Arabidopsis thaliana: one gene and its partners. The protein of the gene in region 3 interacts with the protein of the main gene of each other region in a biochemical or structural test. Each region holds a gene or a part of one and is shown on either strand. Other genes may lie near its edges.

Evidence for each region. Proteins that work in one complex are often made in the same cells at the same time.
Region 1: the proteins of CBL3 (region 3) and MTN1 form a complex in vitro, tested with the Arabidopsis thaliana proteins (one study listed by BioGRID).
Region 2: the proteins of CBL3 (region 3) and SR1 form a complex in vitro, tested with the Arabidopsis thaliana proteins (one study listed by BioGRID).

What each region holds. Positions count from the first base shown.
Region 1 is NC_003075.7:18,112,604-18,117,081, forward strand, and holds MTN1 (methylthioadenosine nucleosidase 1), read right to left. Parts: upstream 2,574-4,478; 5' UTR 2,394-2,573; coding exon 2,294-2,393; intron 2,206-2,293; coding exon 2,142-2,205; intron 2,059-2,141; coding exon 1,967-2,058; intron 1,808-1,966; coding exon 1,701-1,807; intron 1,459-1,700; coding exon 1,384-1,458; intron 1,281-1,383; coding exon 1,206-1,280; intron 1,135-1,205; coding exon 1,042-1,134; intron 950-1,041; coding exon 752-949; 3' UTR 558-751; downstream 1-557. Other genes in the region: AT4G38790 (ER lumen protein retaining receptor family protein), read left to right, coding at 118-242, 326-374; AT4G38810 (Calcium-binding EF-hand family protein), read right to left, coding at 3,004-3,231, 3,418-3,546, 3,649-3,873, 4,181-4,478. UniProt on the Arabidopsis thaliana protein: Enzyme of the methionine cycle that catalyzes the irreversible cleavage of the glycosidic bond in 5'-methylthioadenosine (MTA) to adenine and 5'-methylthioribose.
Region 2 is NC_003076.8:312,633-317,052, forward strand, and holds SR1 (serine/threonine protein kinase 1), read right to left. Parts: upstream 2,774-4,420; 5' UTR 2,120-2,773; coding exon 791-2,119; 3' UTR 558-790; downstream 1-557. UniProt on the Arabidopsis thaliana protein: CIPK serine-threonine protein kinases interact with CBL proteins. Binding of a CBL protein to the regulatory NAF domain of CIPK protein lead to the activation of the kinase in a calcium-dependent manner.
Region 3 is NC_003075.7:13,407,875-13,412,718, forward strand, and holds CBL3 (calcineurin B-like 3), read right to left. Parts: upstream 3,197-4,844; 5' UTR 2,750-3,196; intron 2,295-2,749; 5' UTR 2,238-2,294; intron 2,156-2,237; 5' UTR 2,125-2,155; coding exon 2,001-2,124; intron 1,836-2,000; coding exon 1,753-1,835; intron 1,628-1,752; coding exon 1,568-1,627; intron 1,494-1,567; coding exon 1,373-1,493; intron 1,253-1,372; coding exon 1,119-1,252; intron 1,002-1,118; coding exon 889-1,001; intron 792-888; coding exon 734-791; 3' UTR 548-733; downstream 1-547. Other genes in the region: CBL7 (calcineurin B-like protein 7), read right to left, coding at 1-99; AT4G26580 (RING/U-box superfamily protein), read right to left, coding at 3,831-3,977, 4,068-4,425, 4,513-4,844. UniProt on the Arabidopsis thaliana protein: Acts as a calcium sensor. CBL proteins interact with CIPK serine-threonine protein kinases. Binds calcium ions. Binding of a CBL protein to the regulatory NAF domain of a CIPK protein lead to the activation of the kinase in a calcium-dependent manner.

The sequences.
Region 1 (4,478 bases), 4.7 Mb from region 3:
ATCTTCAAGAGTGGATAGAGGTTATACCAATAGTGGTGATTCCTATACTCGATTGGATTAGTACCTTAAAAGTCGATTTTGAATAGCTGAATACATTGTCTAATGTGCTGAAAATAGGTTGTGGACACGCGGGGACGGTTGCTTGTAGCATTGGGTTATGGATTGTGGCCATCAATGGTTCTGATCTCAGAAATTGTTCAAACTTTCATCTTGGCAGATTTCTGTTACTACTACGTCAAAAGGTACGCATTAGTCCTTCACTTCAACAGTTTAGCTATTTAGCTCTTTGTATATATCTCAAAAGTTTCAACATTTTTCTTTACAGCGTTTTCGGAGGCCAGCTTGTTCTCCGGCTACCGTCTGGAGTAGTATAAGTTCAAAAGATAGAAATACCCCAACGATGTCCTGCGATGAGCTTGACGGAAATTCTAATTGGGAAAGATAGCTCAATTTTTCTTTACCTCTGATTTCATCGTTTATGTGTCTTGAGGTTTCACCAAGTGTCTCGGTTACGAATTAATTTTACAGTGTTGTATATTTTGCCTATCAAGGGATTTAACGTCTTTCAGGTCGATAAGTTATCTTTGAAATTGTTTCTTTACCAAAATTTAAGCAACACTAGGGAGAGAACGTCTTATAACTTGAAATTTATTAACGAGAAATATGATCACTGGAAATCAGTGAAACTGCAACAAGCACGTTGAACGCATTTTAAAAAATCACTCTCCATAAAAAAGGAAGAGAACAGAAGTTAAAGGTCCGAAAGGTTTCTCCCATTGATGAAGTTGATCACTTTAGTAGCAGTTCCCTCTAATGCAGCGGTCACAACTGTCAAGTTCTGCAAGAACTCTTCTGCTGTAGGTTTATCTCCGTCCACTAGATCGGTCACGGCTTTGAGGAACACGACTGGTATTTTCAGAAGATCAGCCACATACGCCACGGCAGCACCCTGAAGAATCCAGAGCCAAAAGAGTTTCAAAACAACAGTTTCATTGATTTTCTGGTTAGATTCAGTAATAAGAATTGTTAACATTACACTACCTCCATGTCCTTTAGCGTAGCATCATTGGCAATGATCAATGTTTCATCTTGCGTGGACATATCCAACGAGTCACCAGTAGATAACCTGCCAATCTGAACCACCCCAATTTTGTCAAAATTGAAATAGTTAAAAGAGTAAGTAGCATCTTGAGTCTATTAAATACCTTCAAATTGAGTTCCTTGAGGAGATTGGGTGTCGAGAATGCCTGACGGAGACCAACTCCATACAGATCAAACATCTAGAGAGATAAACAAACATTGCTCAGGAACTTGCAAGATGAACTGGCAAAAAGGGAATCATCACTAAAGATGGAAAAAAGAAAGAAAGGAAGATGAACCTACCGGAATTGGTATTCTTCTATCATGAAACACAACATCAGATACAAGGAATACATCGCCTATGTTGGCTCCTTTGACCTGCAAATGTTCAGCCAATCAGCACTTTCATTACATGAAAATAAACCAACTTTCACAACATAAAAATAGAGATATGGAGAGAGAGAGAGATCTTTTATGATGCAACTCAAATCTCAGAGTTGAGTAAACGAGCAGTAACAAAATCAAACCCAAACCACAAGTAAAGAAAGAAGAGAGGACGTGGTTCTTAGCAAGGATGCTGGAAGTCAAGACAGAGCACACGAGAAGTAAAAGAACTGTACCTTGAAGCCACCGCAGGTTCCGGCATTGATTATGATGTCAGGTTTTAATGCTTGGATGGAAGCAAAAGTTATGAGAGAAGCTGGAACAGTTCCAACACTATCGATCCCTGGAGAGAAATCTCAGTTAGTAGCATAAAAAAAGTGCATTCATTTTCCCTCATACCAAACAATGCAGCGACTTGAGAAACCAAAGCTACTATACTAAAATGCTGAGAGATTCACAGGCTAATTATCATATCTTTGAGAGCATTGAGTGCAAAGCTTACCTAAAGCTGCATCTCTTCCGGGGCAAACTACATTGATTCGAAGATCTTTATGCACGCCGTGATACAGAACCCAGGGCAATCCTTTACCAAGCCTGCAAAAAAGTAAACTTTGAAGTGAGAGATTCATGGAGATCAAATCCAAACAAGCAAAATCGAAAAAAGGAGAGCTCTTAACGGCGAATCAGTAGTTTCAGAGAGTCCGAACTTGTTGACCAAAGGAAGAGCCTCCGCTTGCATAGCTGCAGCTCCGTCAGAAACACACAAAAAGTAAGTAAGAAGACGAAGAAGAAATCGATCGAATCGGAAACTTCATAAATCATAAAGTACCGATGACGAAGACGACTGAGGAGATCGGTCGAAGAATCTCCGATTGAGCATCGACCTCAGGTTCTTCGATGTCACTTAATCCATCTCCATGAGGAGCCATAACCTTATCCCTCTCTTCCGATTCTCGGCGATGCGTTTGATTCCCAGGAAAAATCCGAGAATCGGAAAGAAACGGCTGGAAACTCCGGCGAATGAGAGATACAGTTTATTCGTTTTTGGACCTTTTGGTCCTCTTTTGTGTTTCCACTTACCAATAATAATATAATAAAAACAAATTATTTTTTTGTGCTAATGACCGTAATTAATTAAATTTAGCTAAGTTTTTGTACTAATCTGGTCTCCTTGTAGTTTTAGCCAAGCTCTTGTAATCAAATTTTCAAATTCTTCAATTAACTTCAGAATATTTATTTCACACTTTTAAAGATAACTCAAATGTTTCATCATAGCCATTCAAGCATCATAAACGTAAACAAATTTTAACGAAATTAAAAAACAGAGTAAACATTGCATCCCATGGTCATTAGAAAAAAAAAAAAAAAGGCATGAGTAGAATCACCACACCAACAAGAGGAAACCCCAAACTTTCAATTTTATACATCTGAAAGTAAAGACGGTTTTCCTCATTAATCTAAAACTTTTGGGGGTAAACACTCAAAAGTCAAAACCATATAACATTTGTTGCTGCTAGTGCTGCTTATTCCCTTCTATGATTAGTTTGAAGGCTCCTCTGTATCAGTCGAAGTTGACGGCAGAAAGGTAGCCGAGGTGAGCGGCTCGTGAACCACCGAGTTAGAGGAAACCGATATGGGACTACCCTCGAGCTGCAACATTATACTCCCCAATATCTCTGCCATTGTTTTCTTAAACTCTTCTTCCTTCACCACATTTCCATCATCTCCATTCACCATCTTCAACGCTTCCATTATCATATTATCCATCTTATAAACAAAAACAAACTTAACTAATCAATGCCGTTCAAAAAATAAAAATAAAAATTCACTAATAATTTTTGATTAAAACACTAATTCTGGTTTCATTTGTTTAACAAATAATTGTAACATGTAAATTCAAAGGCAAAATAAACAATTTAAAAGACAAAATAATTTAGACGGGGCATTATTTACCTGGGACACAGCGCCTATTGGTGGTAAAGTGGCCGATGGTGCAACAGTGTCAAGCACAGCTCGTAGATATCCTTTAGACACCTTACCCTGACGGTCTTTTGGAATCGTCTCCATGGCAACGTTTAGTGCCTGCGACCAAACCGTTCCGGATCATCATCACTCGTTACCATCATTTAAAAAGTTTTCCTTTAGCATAAAAGCTAGATAACATATATATGTATGGTAGTTTACCTTATCGAATTCGAATTTATTGGACAAGAGCCTCCTGATACCGCTCCCATCAAAGGTGTTTTCGCTGTGAGCAACGATCACGGGCTGTTCATTGAGACGCTGAGCCACACTCTCCACGACTCTCTTGAATGCTTCCAAGAATCTCTCCTGAGACGCGCTTTTCTCTCTTTTATCTTCTTCATCAAGACAAGAGTCAACAATTGGTTCTACGATGTTGCTCATCACCTGTTACAAGGACTTTGCTTTTTAGGCAAAACTCAGTTGTCTCTAGCAACATATATAACATCAAATACGAACTTGGATACATATTACGTATCATATGTACTCCCACCATGTAAGTATCGTTCTGATATTTTGTACAACAAAAAAAAAACACCCGAAAAGTATTTTTACGGTTTTGGTAAAAATACAAAAACAAACGGTTCTTAATATTATATGCTTTATTTTATCAATCATATAAATTTAGATTTGAAGTTAAATTAGGAAAATCCATAGCTTAACAGAAATATATAAAAATAAAATAAATAGGTACCCATGGGTCGTTGGAAGGAGGCATTCCATGATCAACAGAAAGAGACTGGAGAGCTTTGACGATACAATCACGGAGCGATGCGTCCTTGCTACTGGAGAGCTCTGAGAAAACAGAAATGCTCTCGATTTCATATCCAGGGCCGTGGACAAACTCCGAGAGATCCTCACCGTCCATCCTGAGGATGACGATAGGATCACGTTTCAGACCAGCAGCCATACCCAACAAAATGTCCGACAACACTTCTTTGAACTCTGTCTTGCTCACTTTCTCTTGACTCCCATGAGTGAATTCGTTTAGG
Region 2 (4,420 bases), on a different chromosome or scaffold from region 3:
AAGTGTACGATGTGATTGTGTATATAGTAAATTGGATAATATATAGATCGTGGAGCCTACAATTATTGCATTGAAAAGGTGATATATATGTTGATTACAGTAATTATAACTGCTGAAGCTGAAATTAATGGATTATGGATGATTGGATTCAATGTGGATACCAAGAAAAGAAAATGATTGATGAGAATTATTGGTGTATGATCTTATATCACAGCCACATGCGATAGGATTATATAAAGTCCACTAGCTATATATCTATTTTAATAGTATATTTTTACAATGATGTGATAAGGACAACCTCTTACTTATCAAAAAGGTGAAAGTAGATCAGTTGTGTTAGTTCATGGCTCAAATCTTGACACTTCTTTTTACATAATGACAAAATTAATAGCAGAAGAAGACTGTGTTTTATGAGTTGTTAAAAATTACATCTATATGTATGTTAAATATCATGTTGAATAGTTAACTAATCCTTAAGTAATGGTTAAGTTAGAGTGTCTTGTACACATAGCATTACTTCACATCCACGATACGTTACTAATGTATTATAGTGGCCATTTAAAACAAGTAATACATTTTTTTATATTTTATTTTTCATTTATATAAAATATAATTATGATTACATAACAAGAAGATACATACTTGCCAACTAAAAATTAAGATTTGTCGAGAAATTTCCTGAATAATTATGTCAGAGATATTCTCCGGGTAAAAAAAAAAGCAATTACATATAACCCGGGATATTTTTTTTTAATTATTATTTGGATAATTTATTTGACAGATACCTAAACTACGACGTCGTATGTACTTGAGTTGGTTCTGGGTCCGTTTGGTCTGATTCGTGCACAAGCTCGACGAAGAAAGGCCTGAGTGTATCTGTCCATAAATCTCGTCCAGATGCAGCGGCTCTTTGTCTCTTCCTCACCTCTATCATAACCAGCTCGTCCGTTAGCTGGTTTATCTCAACCACCATTGCGAAGTTACCTTTTTGCCCCTCGATCTTCATCCCCCATGTTTCCTTCTTCGCCACCGTCAGATTCTCCGCCGACACGATCTCCTCCAGCCTCTCCACCACCCTCTCCGCCGTCCACGCCGACACGAACCGTTCCACTCGGTCGTACTTTCTGGCGTCTCCGAAAAGACCGGAGAGATTGAACCCTGGAGATCCTGAGATGATGTCGAATGCGTTCATCCTCCTTGCTCCCATCTCGCTGTCGGTCTCGTCCGCCGGGAGTTTCATATCGGAGTCCTCTAGATGGAATTTAGACATCCGATCGTCGTAGCCCTGTTTGAACCATGGATCGTGGATGATCTCTTCGATAGTGATCCTCGTCTGCGGATTCGTGTCTAAAAGCCGAGTCAGCAGTCGCCGGAGATCCGGTGAGGTCCACTTGGGAATGCGAAATTCTCCCTTGTAGATTTTCCGGTACATAACCATGAGATTATGGTCGTTGAAAGGGAGATAACCGGCGTTGAGGACGAACAGTATGATTCCACATGACCATATGTCGATTTTAGCACCGTCGTACCCTTTCTTCGCCAAAACCTCAGGCGCCACGTACGCCGGCGTACCACAGAGTGTGTGGAGGAGGCCGTCGGGTCGGATCTGATCGGTAAGAGCGCTGAGTCCGAAATCAGAGATCTTCAAATCGAGCTTCTCGTCGAGGAGGAGATTCTCCGGTTTGAGATCACGGTGAAAGATGCCGCGGGAGTGGCAATATCCGACGGCGGAGATGAGCTGCTGGAAATAACGACGGCTAAGATCCTCGCAGAACCTGCCCTTGGAGACTTTGGCGAATAGCTCACCGCCCTTGGCGAATTCCATGACGAAGAAGATCTTGGATTTGGTGGCGAGGACCTCGAACAGGCGCACGATAGAAGGGTGGCGCAGACGGTGCATGATAGCGATCTCTCTCTGAATGTTGCCATTGAGTCCTCCTTTCTGCAGCCGTTGCTTGCTCACCACTTTGATCGCAACGCTCTGACCCGTCGCTGTGCTCCTCCCGTGGTACACTTTCGCGAAGGCGCCGCATCCCACCAATTTTCCGACCTCGTATTTGCCGAAGAGCTGTCCACGGCGGTTCTCCGGCGGAAATTCCACCGGGTCAGAATCTACCATTAAAAACAGAATCTGCTAGGTCAATTATGGTACACAGAAACTGAGGTCATTGCGAATGAATCAACGCCGTAGAAAAAAAAGAAAAGAAGTCTGAGAGAGAGAGTGTTGTTATTAATAGAAGAAGCGAAAGGAAAATTAGTAGTTTGAAAAGTAAAAAGATATGAACAAAAGTAACAGATATTTAGAGAGATCTGTTAGCAGAGAAAACAAAAGAGAGACAGACAAATTGGGAGGATTCGGATAAGAGATAAGCCATGCTCTGTATCGAGTTGTTACATATATATTACTGTCTTGAGGTAGGAGATGAGGGTATTTTTGTCAATTACTATCAGATTCTTTTTCCTTATTTTCTTCTTCTTTATTTTCTTTGTAAAGACGTGGGAGATTTTCTGTTTTGTTTTCTTAATATATCTATTAAAAAAAGAAGAAGAAGAAGATGAAGATGTGGACAAGAAGTTGAATTAGAACCATACAGGTGTCCCGTCGCTGTTGTCGTGTTGATTTGGTATCTCCGAGGGTTTAGGCTGTAGAATATACTCATTTCACACATATACGCTTCGTCGTATCTTCGGCTATTTGCTATAATATTATTATTACAAGAACATATAAACATGTTTCCTCCAATATTGTTGAATATTATTATTTTATGGTCAACTCAAAACGGAGAATTGTTCTTTCGACTAGCCTAGGCAGCTAGCTCTAGTTAGTTAGTAATTCAGCTAACCACTGCTTTGTTTAGTCATCAATCGTGGTTAAGTCCTTTGAACATCCAAATTCCCCTTATTAGTATTAGTTCAAGTCTCATTTTGAGCACCAGGCTATATATTGCGGTTGACAGGTTACTACAACTCCCGCCCCACTGCTCAAGGTTGGAATCGTCCTATAACTAGTGTCATTTCCTAATCTTCCTTAATCTTTTCAAATCACTATCTAAACTCTACGTTCATTTTTAATTATGATTCTTATGTTTATTTTTCCACTCCATCACTGTTCCAAATAACTTGAATTATTTATCAAATTTAAACAATACTTGGGAAAATATATTTCATGCTTTTTGTATACATTTCACAGTTGTTTATTTCACTATTTTTAGAAAATATATTTGCTTATGTTGGAATCATTAGTTAATACATTTGGAAAACATATGTCATTCCTTTTTAAAAATCTCCAGTTGTTTTTTCCCATATTCGTGGAAAAATAAATCGAGTCTTATGGGCAAATTGATCTATTTGATGCTTTTTGAAAAAAAGAAATATGACTACATTTAAGATTTCAATTGATTATTTTCAATATATGTTTCACATTATAAAGTACAAACAGTGCGCTTGAAAAAATAACTTTTGCCCAAAATAAAAAAGAAAAACAAATTTGATTAATATTTAACATTATCTCATTGTTTTTTTTTAATAGTTACTATTTTCTTACTTAGCTAAGTTGGAAAGTCAGTATAATTTTATAAAGATGTATTAGTTCCATGTATGATCACTACCCACAATCACACTAATTATGTCCCAATTCCTCAGACTTAAACATTTGACGACTTAGAAATCATCGCATTGCATTGTTAGAGTGCAAGGCTTTTATAATCTTGTGAAGTTTTGGTTAAAGTTTAATACCAAAAAAAAGAGGATAAATTTTGCAGTGTCAATTTTTATAGTAAATCTACGACGTGATCTACCCACCGCAGCGTACAACAAAATATAAAATCAATTTTAATTATTTTTGTAATTTATCCAAAACACACAACGTTTTAAAGATTAGATAAATCGTACGTTACTATTTTCGCTGTCACGCTGTGCCCATTTGTACATATATATAAATCCAAGCCACACATAAATTAGTACTATTTTTTTTTGGTAGGCATAAATTAGTACTACAGTATTCACATAAAACCAAATCAACATCTTTTTTAATATATATAAATCCATTAAAAGACATGTACGGGAATAAAATAAAAATAAATTACCGCGTTAATAATGTGATGTACGAAAGATTTCATTTGTTTTTAATTTTGATTTTTTCTGATGCTGTTTCATGGAAGCTTCTTTCGTTGGGGAAAAAGAGAAGGAGGAAGGAAAGAAGCTCGTTAAATAATTACGAAATCAAGGTTCTGTCAATAAAAATGGATGGTTATATAATTGCCCCTTTTCTTTCGTTGGTTCGAAAGGTTGCTCCAATCAAAATATCTACTGATTTTGAATACATTATTAATTGTTGACAAACAAAATAAAAGAATACATTATTAATTTAGCTTGTTACTTTTGGTCCCATGCAAGATTAATGTGACCATATAACCCATTT
Region 3 (4,844 bases):
GCTGAGTTTCTTAAACACCTCATAGAGTGCCTTTCGCTTTTTCTGATCCGTAAAGCATCCCGTGGAGTTGGAAGAAGCTGAATTTCTTGTTGAATCCATGGAGAGTCGTGTAGATAGAAACTTTTTAGCCAAGAAAGAGAGAACAAATCGATGATCAAAAAAAGAGATTGTCAACGCGCTCTGATACCTATTCAGATCTTTGAGACAGGGAAAACATATATATTAGGAAAGACCGAAAGAGTAAGTAATTTATTCCTCAAAGTAAACGTGTTTATGCAGAACACAATCGTCACTAACTTTGCTAATTACTTTGTCAACTCTAACTGACAAAGTCAACCACAAGACTAACAAATCCGATTGTTGTAATGTTGCATCCGGTTCGATCAAATCGGTGATTTCAATTTTGACTTCAGAATTCAGACTAGAGCATACCCGATCATTTGGTGTTGGGTTCTCTCTTTTTTGCTCTCTATTATCACTTCATCAGTTTGCTCTTTATTAATAGGATTCATGTCTCAAGGTTAGTAGTATATCTACAGATGCGAGGAGAAAATCAGCAATCAAAATCAGGAGTAGCAAAAATACAGATTTGTTTTCTTTACTTTTAATTCACACAAGTAACAACAAAATCTTGAAAATGTTCAGAGAGATTGAAACAAATAGACATGATACATAATCAGAAAACAAACACAATTCCCAAATTGTCTCCTCTGCTAATATGCTATTGTTTTTCTCAGGTATCTTCCACCTGCGAGTGGAACACAAAGCTCGGAAATGTAGTTGTTATATCCCTGCACACAATATCAGAGATCGGTGTTAATAATAACACAGAAAAAATTGGAAGTTGCATTGCCTAAACCTCGGATAAGTCTTGGTTTAGGAACTCACTTAAGATACTGGAGAGTCATATTCTTTAGAAGGGAAGGATGCCTGAGAACAAGGGTTCTCCACTCTTCCTTATCGATCCTCCCGTCATGTTTTGTATCAGCTTCCTCAAATGTCTGTGAAAGAAGAAACTTAGAAACCACTCTTTACTTTATTCTCAACTGCTATCATGAGTTGGCTATACAACAGTGGAACAAGAATATAGTATCGAGCAGGGTAGGAAGGAACCACACCTTGTCGATTATACTCTCTATGATTTCGTCTGACAGGTTCATGCCGGACTCAGCAAGAGTAGCCACCACCATTTGCTTCACCTCTTGCCTCTCTATGAAACCTTGCTGCTTAAGATCATATAGCTGAAACGAAACTGCAAAACAATGTTCCCGGTAACTGTTAGTGATATTTCATGGGTTACATGTAGCATGTCAACATCAGATAAATTGTATAGATGGTTTCTCAGATCAACTTTGTAAGATCAAAGACGTACAGTCAATCTTGTCTTCTATGGGAGCATTTGGATGAAAGACAGAGAGAGCACGCGCAAACTCCTCAAACCCCAGTATTCCATTATGCTTTGTGTCAAACAAATCGAATACCTGTGATTGGTACTGTCAAGTTATCTTTCAAAAAGGATCTTGGCAAATGGATAACAAAGTCTTTTGATTAAAAAAGAAGAACATACCCGGTCTGCAAACAAGCTCTCTTTTTTATTTGTCTTGAACAAGGCTAACTGAAATTCTTCCTGAACGACAAGACAGGTCAAGGAAAATCAGAAAAGGATGTCCAAAAGACGTAGCAATATGCATGATTCGTGAGGAGTATAAGTGAGTGGCATAAAAGACATATAATGATGCCCTTCCTTCATACCTTGTTTATTAGCCCATCATCAATCACAGCACTGCTGATTTTCTTAAACAGCTCATAGAGAGCCTCTATTTCACTCACGCTAACTGCACCCAAACGAGTCAATGATCAAAACACAGAAAGAAAGATTTGCATTCCTCTTAACAGAGAGCATCAACTAGAGTAATGGCAAGCCTTTGAATCATACATATAACTGGAAAAAAAAAGTGCATGGAAGTTAAAATAAGATGGAAAAGAAGTTGAGAGCATACAAACTGTCTCTCTCGCAAGAAGTTCAGGGTCACCAAGGCCTCCAGATTGTTTGTAAATATCGATATCAAAACACCGGAAAAAAGAGGAGCATACATGCTTGAAACCGTCTATGCACTGCGACATGATATATCTTGTAAATCAAAACTCTCCATGCCTGTTAAATAACAATAAAATGTAAGAACTTTCGAACCACTTGGAAGAATCTAAAGACATATGCATTTGAACAAGATAAGTACCTTTTAACCATTTCCTGGTTCGTCAAATAGGCAATGCTTTGTACACCTCAAAAAATTCTGCGATGGGAAGGAAATGAGATATAGTCAGTTATTAGCTCATCAAATTGCAAAACAGTTAAAGAAGAATTGACAGGAGCAAACAAGATTCATCATTCTCAGATCAGATCTGAATTAGACTAAAGCACCAGATACTATGAAACACAAACAGAGGAGACGCATATTATAAACGGTCGTAAACTTTATGCATTAATCTTAACTCCAGATTCATTTCCAGATTAACCAATGTATTCATGGATTAGGAACTATCTTTAAGCTAAAACACGAAACCCAAATCTAAGAAACAGCCCCAAAAAATACATGAACTAGGATAAAATGAGGAATCAAAAACACCCAATTTCACGTCAGAAATGCATCATGAATTTTGCGGGGAAAAAAAATGCATCATGAAGAACATAATAAAACTATCCAGACGGATTAATCGTCAGAAAATATAATCCTCTGAGGATCGACACCTGAATCTAATCGCGATATGAATCAGAGAAGTGATTAAGCTAAGGAGAAATGACGGATATGAGAAAAAGCGATCCAATGAGTTTTAGATTCCAAATCGTTCGGATTCAGAGATACAACAACGATGAATCTCGTTATATAAACTTGGTAATCAGCTCATGGATCTATCAGCTTGCGAAGAAATTAGTTGCTTGATTCTCAATCTCAAATTTTAACTTGTTTCCCATCGCGATTTTCCCGGAATAAACACACGAGATTACGAGGAAGCGACCGACCGCGAAATCGTAGAAAAGGGAGAAAGAGAAGAAGAAAAAGCCTTACGCCACGGCGGATGATGAGCCTTCCTTGCGGCGGCTCCGGCGGTTGAAGGTGACGGTGGTTGCGGTGGAAAACGCGAAAAAAGCTCTTATTGGGTAAGTGAGAGAAAAAAGGTCGACACGATTTTCTATAAGCAGAATGAATATATTGCAAAATTTTAAATATGCTAAGAAAAAGACCAAATTATTTTTGTTTGTTGGCGTTTTTATACTTTTTAAATTTAAAAAATAAATAATTTTGTTTATTTTTACTCGATGTTGATACAGTTGTAATAAAACTCCTTGTTACATTCACTTTCACACGTCGTCGTCTAGTGGAGCATGTGTCCATTTATGCGCTGTCTTAAACACCATCGTTTCAATAATCGTTCCTATACGACGGCGTGTCATGTTATTCGGATTCTGACTGTTGCTTTGGTCTGATTTGGTCTCTGGGTTTGAATTCGGTTTAAATTGTCTTTGGAAAAAATATTATAGCAAAAACCAGTATAAGCTTAGTTACATTAACCAACAATTAAAACTTTGATTAATGGTAAGAGAGGGACAAACTCTACTGGTAAAACAACAGATTGATCATGTTTTTTAACTTTTTTTTTAGGTAAAATTACAGTTACTGGTGAGCTACTTTGTACACAAGAAAAAAAAAGGAATGATAACGACATTCACACAAGTAAACGTGTTTAGGCGGCAACAGAAAAAAAAAAAAACACATATATGGTACTTGGTCAGAGATTCAATCTTGTGACTCATGTATTGTTTTGATTTTTCAGTTAGGGAGATCTTGTTTGCAAAGAGGACAACACGAGATGATACGAAGCCATTGATCTACGCATTTGAGGTGAAACCTATGCGAACATGGAAGCTTTCTCACTTCTTCTTTCTCTTTGTACTTTGCCAAACATATACAACATTCCTGCAATAATGAAACCGGTGGGTTTCAGTTTTGATATCAAGATTGATTTCTGACTATTTGACCTATTTCAGAATTCAAATTAGTGCTTACCGGATCATTGTTTGCTTGAGAAGAATCAGAAGTTTCATCAATGAGTTTGTATTTCCAACTTGGGAGACTGGAGATCTGGTCATCTGAAGCTCCTTTTTCCGAAGATCCAACGTTCATGTTGTAGCCGAGGAAGCTACTAACGAGAGGTACAACACAACAGAGCAGGAGGAAGAGAAGAAATGGGAAGGAGTAACAGAGAGCGTTCCAAGCGAGTAGGGAGATGCAGAGGACATGAAGGATTGGAGCATAGTGGAAAGAACCAAACCGAGAATCAAAAACCCATACATTACCTATCACAAACCATATCGCAAAGAATAGCTCCAGCGATGTCCGGCATTTGTTCATCAAATGCGAGCACCTAAAACACACACAAAAATAAGTCATTTTCCTAGAAATCTTTGCATTTTATGATCAAACTTGAAAAAACTAGATTTTTGTTAGTAACCTGGTGGTCTCTTCCCTGCTTCTTTGTTGCTGCTCAATATCGCCGAAGCTAAATGCATTTTCATGGCTAGTATCTTGCTGACGATACCGACCGTATAGTAACATAAGATTGAGCAGACATCCAACGTTGTAGCCAGTGATCCATAACCTCATCGGCCAAACAGGCCTCTCGTTTTTGGACAAAGCTAGTGTGGATGTTATCACAGTGATCTGTAAAAGTAAAGCGATGAGCTCTGATACCATCCAAGCGATAGAATTGAAAGGATTGGTGCCAAGATCGGATCTTGAGGCGTTCTGGTAATGAAAGACTCTTCTCAAGAAAATGAACCACCT